2 linked regions of the Drosophila melanogaster genome follow. The protein of the gene in region 1 interacts with the protein of each later gene in a pairwise test. Each region holds a gene or a part of one and is shown on either strand. Other genes may lie near its edges.

Evidence for each region. Proteins that work in one complex are often made in the same cells at the same time.
Region 2: the proteins of Nf-YA (region 1) and Pp2B-14D interact in a two-hybrid assay, tested with the Drosophila melanogaster proteins (2 studies listed by BioGRID).

Annotation. Positions count from the first base shown.
Region 1 is NT_037436.4:9,440,668-9,447,125, reverse strand, and holds the start of Nf-YA (nuclear factor Y-box A), read left to right. Parts: upstream 1-4,858; 5' UTR 4,859-4,963; coding exon of another isoform or gene 4,964-5,002; intron 5,003-5,159; 5' UTR 5,160-5,233; coding exon 5,234-6,433; 3' UTR 6,434-6,458. Other genes in the region: CG3529 (uncharacterized protein), read right to left, coding at 64-130; Srg3 (Sting-regulated gene 3), read right to left, coding at 841-1,424, 3,762-3,795; Bet3 (blocked early in transport 3), read left to right, coding at 4,964-5,002.
Region 2 is NC_004354.4:16,556,973-16,563,430, forward strand, and holds the start of Pp2B-14D (protein phosphatase 2B at 14D), read right to left. Parts: upstream 3,045-6,458; 5' UTR 2,436-3,044; coding exon 723-2,435; 3' UTR 1-722. UniProt on the Drosophila melanogaster protein: Calcium-dependent, calmodulin-stimulated protein phosphatase. This subunit may have a role in the calmodulin activation of calcineurin.

The DNA of each region.
Region 1 (6,458 bases):
CACACACCCCCGCTTCCGGTGGGTGTTTTTTTTACGCTGGAGGGGGGAGGGTGGTTTACTCACCTATGCGCTGGCCAACTGGAGTGGAGAAAACATTTCCCAAGGCGCCAACGTTGAAAAATGAAGCCATCGTGGAGAAGTTTCTTATTAATGCTCGCCGTTGGGTTGCAGTGCGGTTAAAATTGTTCTTTATTTACTTTTTGTTCACCTGGATGAAATGTTTATGCACTTGTCTACAGCAGAGTGACCATGGCTGGCCTCAGCGAAAAATACCCACAAAGAAATGCATTACAATAAGTGGGTAAATAGGAATAGGTTTTTTTCCAGGGCTGCAGCATTTTATTTCATTTTATTTAAAAGAATTATCCACAGTTTTTGAGATAATGACATAGTTATACCCGTTACTCGTAGAGTAAAAGGGTTTATTAGATTCGTTGAAAAGTATGTAACAGGCAGACCATATAAAGTATATATATTCTTGATCAGGATCAGTAGCCGAGTCGATCTGGCGATGTCCGCCTGTCTGTACGTTTGAACGTCGAGATCTCAGGAACTATTTAAGCTAGAATGTTTAGATTAAGCGTGCAGATTCCAGAGACATAGACGCAGCCCAAGATTGTTGACCCATGTTTCCATGACCACTCCAACGCCCACATTAGATTGTTCTTAGTTTTATTGTTCACCTTGCACCTTGCACCTTTTGGATTGTAATCACACCCACATCTTTAAACAATTTTAATTTTTTCTCATTTTATTCGCAATCCGACTAGCTGAGTAACGGGTACCTCATAGTCATGGTTGTTCACAGAGCGTGTTATGTATCTCAAAAACTTTGTAATTTCAAAGAGTTATTTCACAATTCATTCCACAGATTTCGTGGATAATGAATTTTCGATTGTTCAACCTTGCACCTGTCTCAAAAATGAGCTTTCCGTCAGCGGTCCTTCTGACGGTACCGCTGGCGGTCCCACTGATGGTTCCGCTGATGGTCCCGTTGATAGCCCCACGGACGGTCCCCTTGACGGTTCCGCTGACGGTCCCTTCGATGGTTCCGCTGCCGGTCGTGCTGACGGCCCCGTCGACGGTCCGGCTGATGGTCCCTTCGACGGTCCCGCTGAGGGTTCCGCTGAGGATCCCGCTGAGAGTCCCACTGAATGGCATTGGAACGAACTCGTTGATGACCAATCCAATGACGGTCGCGCTGACGGTCCCGCTGACGGTAGCGCTGACGGTCTGGCTGAGGGTCCCGCTGAAGGCTCCTCTAGCGTTCCCGCTGACTTTCCCGCTGACGTTCCCGCTGACGTTCCCGCTGACGTTCGCGCTGACGCTAACGCTCCTGCTGACGGGCACGTCGTCGGTCTCGCTGTCAGTGATCTCCATGTCGACGGCCCAGATTTCCGAGGACAGTTCATAGGATTCGTCCTCTGAAAGAAGAGAACGTAGGGTATATTAGTGAGTGAGGCTTTGAGACTTATATTTTGATAGTCCCGACTTGGTTAGTCGGCTAAACTTCTCTGTTCCAAGACCCATAATCTTAAGCCCATTTAGATCTAACTATAAGTTGCATGATTCTTACAGAATATTGTGTTCTGACTATAATAGTCATTATCCTATTATCTGTAATCTTTGCTCTCTGCCGCTCTTAAAGCAATCAATCAAATCAATCGGTGCATTATTCACAAATACGACGCAAAATTTGTTTTTGGTTAGATTAAGGAATATATGAGTTAGCGGTTCCAACAGGCTGATAGGACAAATCATATGCCTCGCACGTAGGGTATAAACTGAGAAGAAACGTGTTTTTCCCCGGAATTCTTTGCGACACATACAGTTTGTCAAGAAACTGTTTACACACTGTGAAATAAGTTGAATTTTTGACTTTAAAGCTAAAAATAAAGGGTTTTTTGCTTAATTAAACGCAATTTTTTTATAAAATATAATTAAACAATATTTATTTTACTTATAAATCAAAAAACAAATTAAAAATATTAAATATACAAGAAAATAAACAACAAATTCCAAGTTTACACACTTTTGAGACTGTCAAGAAACTCTTTACACATTTTGTTTTCCTACTTTGTTTTGTTCTTTTTCTTAGAACGAACTCGATTTTTCCGTTATTTTTGGCTTTACATTGCTTTTTACAACGCTTCTATTGAAATTTGTTGACTTTGCTTGTGAAATTTTGCTGATCAAACGTGCTTAAAGCGAATTATTAAATTTAATAAAATGCCTGGAAAGAGATTAACTTTTGAAGTTACCCAATTAATAAACTATAACCACCAGTTGGGAAAATCTTTTCCAGAATTAGTATAAATGTTTCCTGTATCCCGTAAGACCGTCTACAATGTTTTAAAAGGCTCGGAAAAAGAGGGCAGGCTTGAACCTAAGAGTGGTGGTGGGCGGAAAATTAAAATTAAAAAGCGTGTAGACCGCTTTATTATGCGAATAGTGATTGCGAACCCCCGAATCTCGGTCAGATCACTTGCTCTGGATATCAGGCAAGAATGTCACCTAACTGTGTCACACGAAACTGTGCGCCAAGTCATCCTACGCCATAGGTACTCTTCAAGAGTTGCAAGGAAAAACCCTTTGCTATCAGATGCCAATATTGAAAAGCGTCATTTATTCGCTATGAGCATGATGGATCATGCGGAAGAGTACTGGGATGACGTCATATTTTGTGACAAAACAAATATGATGCTCTTTTATAACGACGGGCCAAGCAGAGTATGGCGCAAACCGTTGAGTGCGCTAGAAAAACAAAATATCATTCCAACAATAAAATTTGGAAAAATGTCACTGATGGTTTGGGGCTGTATCACCAGCCGTGGAGTGGGAAAACTAGCCTTAATTGAGAGCACAATAAATGCCGTGCAATATCTAGGAATTAAAAAAAAAAATTTGAAGGCCAGTGCAGAAAAATTTGGTCTAGTTAGCAACAACAAGCCAAATTTTATGTTTTACCAGGACATGATAAGAAACATAAAGAGTGCAATGTACGCACCTGGCGCCCTTATAACTGTGGTAAAGTGATCGATACGCCCCCTCAGAGTCCTGATCTGAACCCCATTGAAAATTTGTGGACCTACTTAAAGAAGAAGGTGGCAAAAAGGGACCTAAAACACAACAACAGCTTATGACTGTAATAGTCGAAGAGTGTGAAAAGATCCCGTTTGAATATGACCTGCAAAAACTTGTCCAATCCATGAAAAAAAGGCTTCAACTTGTAGCTAAAGCCAATGGGGAACATACTACATACCAAAACTTTTAAAATTTTAATAAAATAATTAAAAAATTTAGGTTTAAACTTCGATTTAGTGTTTTGTGTAAAGAGTTTCTTGACAGTCTCAAAAGTGTGTACACTTGGAATTTGTTGTTTATTTTCTTGTATATTTAATATTTTTAATTTGTTTTTTGATTTATAAGTAAAATAAATATTGTTTAATTATATTTTATAAAAAAATTGCGTTTAATTAAGCAAAAAACCCTTTATTTTTAGCTTTAAAGTCAAAAATTCAACTTATTTTACAGTGTGTAAACAGTTTCTTGACAAACTGTATGTATGTACACTTGCCACACTTTTTGGTGTTGTAATTATATCTTTCGGATCAGAAACCTCGCAATTTACGTGGCATTATAATTAAATATATTATTATTATTAAAATGTAACGAACATTATCCAAAATAAGATACAAATTGAAAAAAATACGGAGAACTAGAGTTCACTAAAATTATTAAAGGTTCCATAGGTTTCATACCTATGGCCCTAATATTGGAGGAAATATTTCCCATTGCGGTGGAGTTATTTATTATAGTTATTTTCACTGGTTATTTTATGTTATGGTATTTTCACTGGTGGAAGTACGGAGACTGAATGATATATGTTCTGCAGCCATGCAATATATATAAGTACAATTTATTAAATTTTTTAATCTAACATTGCTGTGGTGAGTATGGGGGTTGGGTCATAGCGTTTAGTATAAGTATTTTAAGTTAAGTACTTTTCTTGAGTGACATGGACTGGTAACATTAACATATGGCACAATATTTTAATTATTTTTACAAATAGCATTTAATTTTAAACTAGCATTAATTTCTTTTTATATTTTTGGATACCCCGTCAGAAGGACGAAAGCACCGGAAGGACAGAAGGACAGGAGTCATCGCCGGGGATAAATTGGAGTTTTGCAGCATTTAAATATAGCCGACTGTCCCACCCACTGTCCCTCCCACTGAAATCTTAATGTTGCAGATCTATTGCAGAAATCTTATTGTTAATAAAGCGGTTCATGACATGGATTGGTTGTGGTATTGGTACTAAAGAGGGCGGATCTTAAACTCCTCCCACTGTTATGTTATTATCTCAAAAACAGTGGAAAATTTTTAATGATTTTTTAATTTAATGAAATATTCCTGAAATGTCCTTAAGGTCTGAGGAGTTAAGGTTTGAGGAGGTCTAGCGTGCAAAATGTTGGGGAGCCGATTATTCTATCGCATTATTTTTTTACTTTCTTGAGCCCTATAAGTAGTACATAGATAGTTAGATCTGCCATTTTGAAACATTTTTGCATTTTTATTCTTGGGAATTTACTCCCAAATAACGTTAGCGCAAATTTATTAATTAATGTATTTATTAAATAAATTTATTATACTGATAACATATTAATATAGCAAAAAAAAATACGTTTTTGAATATATGTGCATTCTTTTTAAACTGCTGCACACATTTATTATTTTTTTGGACTCTTACAATACTTTTTCAAAAATTTTAAATATAACTGCGACTTTGAGCGATACTTTCACTTTTCCCGTGACGCCAACCGATATGCACAGCGCTTGCAGCCCTGGCCAATTTTGATGTGTTTCAGCATTGTACCCTGACAACCCTGCTCTGTAAAACTAGGAAAAACAGAAAATTTTATTTTCAATTGTTAAATATCCAAACGTAAACAGCCGGAAAATGTCACGACAAGCCTCTCGTTTGGACGCCAAGAAAGTGGTAAGTTGGCCAAAGAAGAGAGAACAGCGCAAGATCGGTATCGTTAGTCATTTGGAGGCATAGATCTAGTTGTAAGGTTAGATTTGTGCCATAGTGCCTAAGAACGAATCTTTGACGTGCCATCCACCCTCAAAATCGGCTTCATTCACTTTTCCAGTAAGTGTGTGTGTTGGGGGCTTGAGGTTGAGACACGGACACACAGACAGGCACAAGCCGACGTGCAATCAGGCAATGGAAAACCATTTCAGCGCCACCAGTCGCCCCTCAGCCACGCCCAGAATGTGCACCACCGCCTCTGCCGTCGGTGCTGCCGCCAGCGCCGCCGCCGCCGCCGGCAACAACAATAACAACAGCAATAGCAGCAGCAACAACAACGCAACAACCGGCAACAATTTAAGTGTTAGCACTGCAGCCGGAGGAGCCACAAATGCCGCAGCAACGGCACAACCCATCCAAGTGATACCAATGCCCATGCTGCCCACCGGAGCGGCGCAAATCATAATTGGCCAGCAGCCACAGGGTCAGGCGACGGCGACGGGTCTGCAGCCACAATTGATACCGCTGCAGGCCAACCAGATTATGCTGCAGGCTGCGCAGCAGCAGCCACAGATGCAGGTGATGCAGCTGCCCGATGGCCAGACTATATTCTATCAGACGCCCACCATTGCCGCCTTGGATCCGAATGCAGCGGCCAACGCCGCAGCTGCCATGGCAGCCCAGCCGACGCCGCACTACCTCAATATCAATGGGCAGCTGGTGCAGATCAATCCAGCACCGAGCGCTAATCAGGCGGCACCCACAGCTGGGCAACAGATTATAATGGTGCCGCAGACAGCGATGGCAGCGGTGAATGCAGCGGCCGCCAATGCCGGAGTAGGCGCCGGAGTGGGCACAGTGGTTACCCAACAACAACAGCAGCAGCATCAACAAGTACAATCCCAGACCCAAAACCAGCAGCAGCAGCAACAGCAGCAGACGGTGGCGGCGGTGGCTGCCAGTGCTGCAGTCAATAATATAAGCGCCGATGTCAGCACAAGTACAACTGGAACGAATACGAACAGCGAGGACGAGAGCTCCAAGGGCGAGGCGGACGAGGAGCCGCTCTATGTGAATGCCAAGCAGTACAAACGTATTCTCATTCGGCGGCAGGCCAGGGCCAAGCTAGAGTCGCGCATACCCAAGGAACGGTGCAAGTATCTGCACGAATCTCGTCATCGCCACGCCATGAATCGGGCTCGTGGCGAGGGTGGTCGCTTCCATTCGGCACAGGAGAAGGGCGACCAAGATTCGTCCGGCCCGGAAGGCGGCAGCATGCCAATGGCGTCCAGTGGCGGCGTCACCCTCAGCCGTGGCACGGCACGTGCTCCGCCCAAACTGATCGCGCCACATCAAACGCCCAGCATTACCATAACGGCGATCAAATCGGAATAGTCGCCTCCTAGCTGTAGGATACAAA
Region 2 (6,458 bases), on another chromosome or scaffold:
ATATTTCTAAATAATCATATGTATACATATATGTACGCTTCTTTTTTGCCGCTGCTAAATGTTTGGAACAGATTAGCGCTGGATTTTGTTTCCCATATCTCTTCAATTGGATTAGTGTTTCTTGCCTCTGGGGATTATGGGGATTCTGCTGGGGTTTTTCATCTTAAATTATCGCATTATCGCAGGGGGAGGGATTTCAATTAGCTCTTTCCGTTTTGTTCATTTTCCATTTTAAAATTTGCCCATTTCAGTTTATAGTTTATACATTACAACTTAAGCTAGGTTATGGGTTACGTTATGGGTTGGTTTTCTTCTATCGCGAAAGGGAATTTTCCGTTTTGGGGGCCGGCGCGCCAAAGTATGCCACACATAATTTTAATATCCAATGTGCGCGCGCCTGCGTAAAAACAAATCTCTGCTCCGTGCCGTCGGTTTGGAGGCTCTGGGCCATGGACATAGACATGGGCATGGAGCTGGTGCGGGATCACATACGAAATGCAGGGGGTTATGACAATTACTTAGAATTAGAATTGGTTTTAGTATTTAAGTTGTTGCTCTGCCACATTAAGTTTAATTAAGGTTCCGTTCGGTTGGTGTTCTTTGTGTTGCCTCCGCTCCGCTCCACTCAGCCCCTCCTTCAGACCAATTCAGACCTCGCCAGACTCCACCGTGCCGCATCTGCATCTGCATCCTCGTCCTGCAGCCGCACTAGATGGCACAGCTTACCCATGTCCAGCCCCATTTTTGCCGCCCTGCTGACTGTGCTGATTCGGATCCTCGCTGGGCGTGGGCGGCTGATCCCGCCGCGGCGGCATCCGTTCGTTGACGGCATCCAGGCCCTTGGCCTCCGCGAACGAGGTAATCTTGTGGTTGGGCGAGAAGCCCTGCATGGCGTTCTTGAGCGACTGCTTGCCGCCGGAGAGGGCGCCGAGGGGCAGGGCGCCCGTGGGCGTCAGGCCCTTCAGCTGCAGCACCGACTCGGACTCCTCGCGCAGCACGGAGAAGACGCGCGCCATCTTGCCAATGGCACGGATCTTGTTGCGTATCACCTCCTTGCGCAGCGCCGCCTCGTCGTCGGAGAGCGGCTCCTCGCTCTCCTCGGTCATGAGCTCGTCGTCGGAGCAGATGTTCAGCACGTTCACCAACATCTCGGTGACCTTCTCGCCCACGAAGGGTAGCGACCAGGTGAACACGTCCATGAAGTTGGGCAGCCAGTACGGGTGCGGCGAGCAGTTGAATTGCCGGATGTTCATCACGTTGTTCTCGTACTTCAGCACCGCCGCCTTGTTGTTGTACACGTCGAGATAGTTGGGCGCCGAGAAGATGGTGATCAGCGAGGGGAAGCCGGTGGTCTGGCTTTTGCGGTACATGCGGTAGCCGGCGTCCTGCGCCTCGTGCGCCCGGATGATCGACAGCAGGTTGTTGTTCTGCAGGAAGTCGCAGCAGGCGGCGTAGCTGTAGAAGTACGAGCATCCGCGCACGGAGTTGTGCGTGTAGAAGTCCGAGTTCTTCTCGTTGCCAAAGTCCTCCAGGGGATCGGACCACAGCAGGTCGCACATGGGGCCAAAGGCGGGCGGCTCCTTGAAGCGGTCGAGCCGCCGGATGTCCTCCAGCTCGTGTATCTCCGGCGACAGACCGCCGTGCACGCAGAGGAACTGCTGGTTCATTAGCGCCGCCAGCGGCAGGCAGTCGAATGCGTCCATGCAGGCGTCGTACACGCGCTCCGAGTACTTGATCTTGCACTCCTGCTTGAAGGTGAAGTACTCGGTTAAGTGCCGGCACTCGTGGTTGCCGCGCAGCAGGAACAGCGTCTGCGGATAGGTGATCTTTAGCGACCACAAATACAGGACGCACTCGATGCTGAAGTAGCCCCGATCGACGTAGTCGCCCAGGAACAGATACTTGGTGCTCGCGGGCGAGCCGCCCACTTCGAACAGCTTCATCAGGTCGTAGAACTGGCCGTGGATATCACCGCACACCGTCACCGGCGCCTCAATATCGATCATCGTCTTCTCCTGACGCAGCAGGGCGGCTCCGTCCTGGATGATTTTCAGGGCGGGCGCCTCCTCGATTCTGCCCTCAAGAATGAAGTGCTGCTTGAGCAGCTCATGGTTGGGCTTGCCGGTGCGTTGGTCGAACACCTCCGCCAAGGTCAGCTTGTGGCTGGGCGGGAAGGGAACGCTGTCCACCACCCGTTCCTTGGTGTTTACTGCCGTGTGGCCGCCGTGCAGCTTTCCAGTGCTCGCTCCTGTGCCCGTTCCAGTGGTGGGACTGCTGTTGTCGCTGTTGTTGCCCGCTGCAGCGGTACTGCTGCTATTATTGTTGTTGTTCGAGGCGGTACTATTGGCATCTGTGGCTTCCGCCGATCCGGCACTGACGGTGCGGGCACTTGTTGCCGCCTGGGCAACGCTGCTGCTCTGGTTATTCGAAGACATGGTTGAGACTTCTGTTTCTGTTTCGGTTTTTGGCTCTGCTTCTACGGCTACTGCTTCCCGTTTCCTTTTTCCTGGTTTCTATTCCGGGATTCGGAATCGGACTGCTCCTCTCCCGCTCCCACTTCCACTAGCTCGCTCTCCCGCTCTCGCTCTCCCGCTCTCGCTCTCTCACGGCTCAGTTCTGTTTCCACTACCCACACACACGCACACGCACACTCGCTCACTCACTCACTCACACTCTGGTACTTTCCCTGGCTGCTGCTGCTGCTGCTGTGTGGTTGTTGCTGCTGCTCCTACTGTTGTTGCTATTGTTGCTGTTGTTGTTGGAGTGCCTGGTGAGCCGCTTTATCGCCTTCCAGCTTTGATTCGCTTTCCTTTACTTTCCGCTGGCTTTGCTTTGATTTTGGAACGCTGACTCCGCTGCTTTCTTCCGTGGCCTGCGCCGCTGGCCTAGCCGTTTTCCAAAAGTGCTGCTTTCACTTAACAACAATCATAGTCACTCTGTTTCAGTATTTGCTACTTTTTTCGCTTCGGCCCTGCAGACGTCGTAATTTCTCTCTTTCGCTACGTTTTTTTTCTCGCTTTTTTTAATGGAATTTTCTGCAGTGTGGCCGTGGCTCAAAAGCTCAAACTTACTACACGGCCGCTGGAATGTGTACTCTAGTCGAGACTCGCACCTGGAATGGAAGTCATGGAAGTAGTCGAGTAAGGTACGTGCAAAATTATATCTTTCTCTGTATATTTAATATTCTAAATGAATACGCTTACTTTTATCTCCTTTCTAACAATATATTCACTTTAAAGATGTAGATGGTGGCGCAAAATTAAAATCTGAACAAATTCCGCACAGCAATGTACCACAAGGTGCTAAACTTTGATAATTATATCCAATTGGACTTGGTACATATTCAAAATGTCAACTGGAAAACATTTTATTTTAAAAAAGCTTAAGCTATCAATTAAGCCGTTCATCTTAATTATTCTTTAAACGTAGTTAACTAAACATTATAAAATGAATTAAAATTAGAGAATATGAGAGCCCAGATGCTGAATTTATCAATATAGGTAAAAACCTCATTATTGAAATTCTTGGCCACCTGTCGGTTTCGCCCCACTTACACTTACCTCTTCCTTAATTTTCGAGCAAATTCTGGACATTACTCACTCAGTCCACCACTTCTCCAGCCTTCTACTGGTGGATATGCTTCCCGGGATTAAATATGTATATGCTTATTCTGAAATTCCCCGGTGGCGAAATCGACTCAAACGAACTTTTAGAGGAAATAATAAATGTGCGCGCATTTTATTCTCAGGATAGGTACTTGTATATTTTTTTTAATGTTTTTGTATTTCTTTTTTGGTTGTTTTTGTTTTTTTTTTTTGCTTGTTCTTTTTTTTTCGTTTTTGTTAATATTAATTATGTTAATAACATTGATAATCATTTTGTTTTCATTGGGTTTCTTCATTTTGTTTTGCATTCACTTAAGGTTAAAACTTGTTGTCTGCATTTTGTTGTTGCCTTCATTTATTCTCCATCGTCTACATCTCCATTATCATCATCTTTATCTTGTAAATTAATTTGTTATCTTCCTTGGATTGCGTACAATTTTTGTCACAACGGCGCAAATTTTATGTAATTTTTGCCAGCCAGCTGCCCCTTGCAATACAGTTTATAAATTTGTTTATCCATTAACTTTGGTTTCGGTTTAATAATAAAATTGAAAATTTTTAAGAGATTTATCTAGATGTGATGTTTTCTTGTTTGTTAATTTGTTATGTTGCATTTTTAATATTATTTATTTGGTTTTTGGTTTTCCTTTCCCATCTTCCATCCATTTGTTTTTTGTTTTTCTTTAATATAAGTATATAAACTTTTTGCTTTGACAAAGTTTTTCCAACTTATATTTATCATACATGTTATATATAAATAAATGTTTAAATATATATAAAATATGCATTTAAATTGATTTATCCAAAAGGTAAAGTTTTAATTGTTTTTTGGTTTTTTCTTCACTTGGTTTTTCTTGTTTTTTTTTTGTTTTTGCTTTTCTTTGTCCATTTCTTTTTTGTTTATAATATATATTAAATTGTTTTCTTTTTCGTGTAAAGTTTTTAAAGCATTCGAGGGCAGGAAGTAGATGTTGAAAAATACATGTATCAAAAAAATTAAGGTAACGTATATAATTACATACATACATACATATGATGAAAAGGTTTTCATTCGCATTGCAATGGATGAGATGAGTGGAAACGAAAAACAAGAAATCTTCCCATTTTCTCTTTATTCTCGTTAAATTTAATAAGTGTATATACGATTATAAAAAAAAAAAACAATTGGTTAACAAAATGGCTTACTTAAAGCGACTTAAATATTTGATTGTACATAGTAGTTCAAGCTAATCGATAAACTAACAGTCTAACGGAAATTTAAAAAAAAAAACTCTAAAAACATTTATGTTCAATATGCGATTTATTCGATATCGAACTGAGTGTGGAATTGATTGTAATCGGCCATTCTAATTTTAACTTTCGGCTGAAATTTGAGTATAGTTTTTATGGGTATTTTTTTATCACGTCTTGGCTATCTTTAAATATCATTCTCTGGGTTTTGAAACCACTTAAAAAACTGCCTAGACGCGTGCTATGAAAGACTTTTCAAATCAAAATTGTTTTGTTTTTCATATCATACTAAGAGGCAGCTTTCGAAATGGTTTCAAAACTCAAGGGATTTTACAAAAACGGTGCCGAAAGTCAAGTTCGAAATAGGACCCATTCGTTTTTATATTGAAATTGTGGTTTGCTGTAGTTGGTAATTTGGTTTTAACTTTATATTCGCTTCCTCTTCTTCTCTTGTATTTCCTATTCATATATGGTGTAGTAGAAAATGTACCGATAAAAAGTGTTATTTTCCTTTGCTTTTGGTATGGTTTTCGCATTTTTGCTGGGTCCTCTTCTGAGGTCACCGAAACGACAGAGAGAAAGACATAGAGATAGAGAGAGAGAAAAGATAAAGGGTCAAGGTCGAAGTCGAGTCGGGAGTTTCACAGTGCGAGAGAGACGGAGAGAGATAGAGAGAGAGAGAGAGAGAGAGAGAGAGAAAAGAAGAGCAGGACAACAGGAGAATGGAGAGGTTAGAGCGAGAGGGGTAGTCGTTAATATAATTTTGTTTCGCTTTTGTTTAGTTCTTAGGCTTCGTGTATATAGTATAAAAGTATTTTTATATATTATTTGCTTACTCGTAATATGTTATATATTTTGGTTTTTGGTTTCTTCTCATATATGTGTATATTAATTAAATTTACTTTGGTTTTTGCATTTGCTTTTTTTATGTTAGAAGAGCGCGCTAATTTGTAATTTTGCTTTTTTCCTTTTTTTTTTATTGTGGGAACGTTGGAGGAGAGAAAAGTATTCAGTTATATGCTATACATATGTATACGGGTTGCGGTAATTTGTTAAAAAGTTCTCATTTACTTTAAAAATAATAGTAAGAGCTTGCTTGCTGTAATCCATTATTGTAATTATTGTTTATAATATTTGTATTATTCGTATTCTTGATTTTTCATTGAATCGAAATGCATAAACGTCTTGTAAATTGTTGTGTCTGTGTGTGAAACGCTTAACATTAGATCGGTTTATATTGTATATGGATATATATATATATATATATATATATATATATATATATATATGTAAATATATATAAATGTAAATCATCTGTAACCATTAACTGCTTGATGACGTAGCCGCTGATGCGCATGGGCAACCGCGCAAAGGCAAAAAACACGCGAGGAAGAAGCGGCAAGTGGAAAATGTCCAGTGGAAACGGAGCCAAAAGCATGCTTTCTTCTTGATTGGTGCTCTGCTCGCCAAGCATGCTTTCCATCACCTCGCTCGCAAAAAGCATGCGGCGTGTATTTGTTTGTGTGTGGGGTGTTCGGTTGTGTGTTTATGGGTGCCTATCAACATAACTTGAATATGTCACCGACTTTCAACTGTCCTTCTGATTGCTGCTGCACTTTTGCA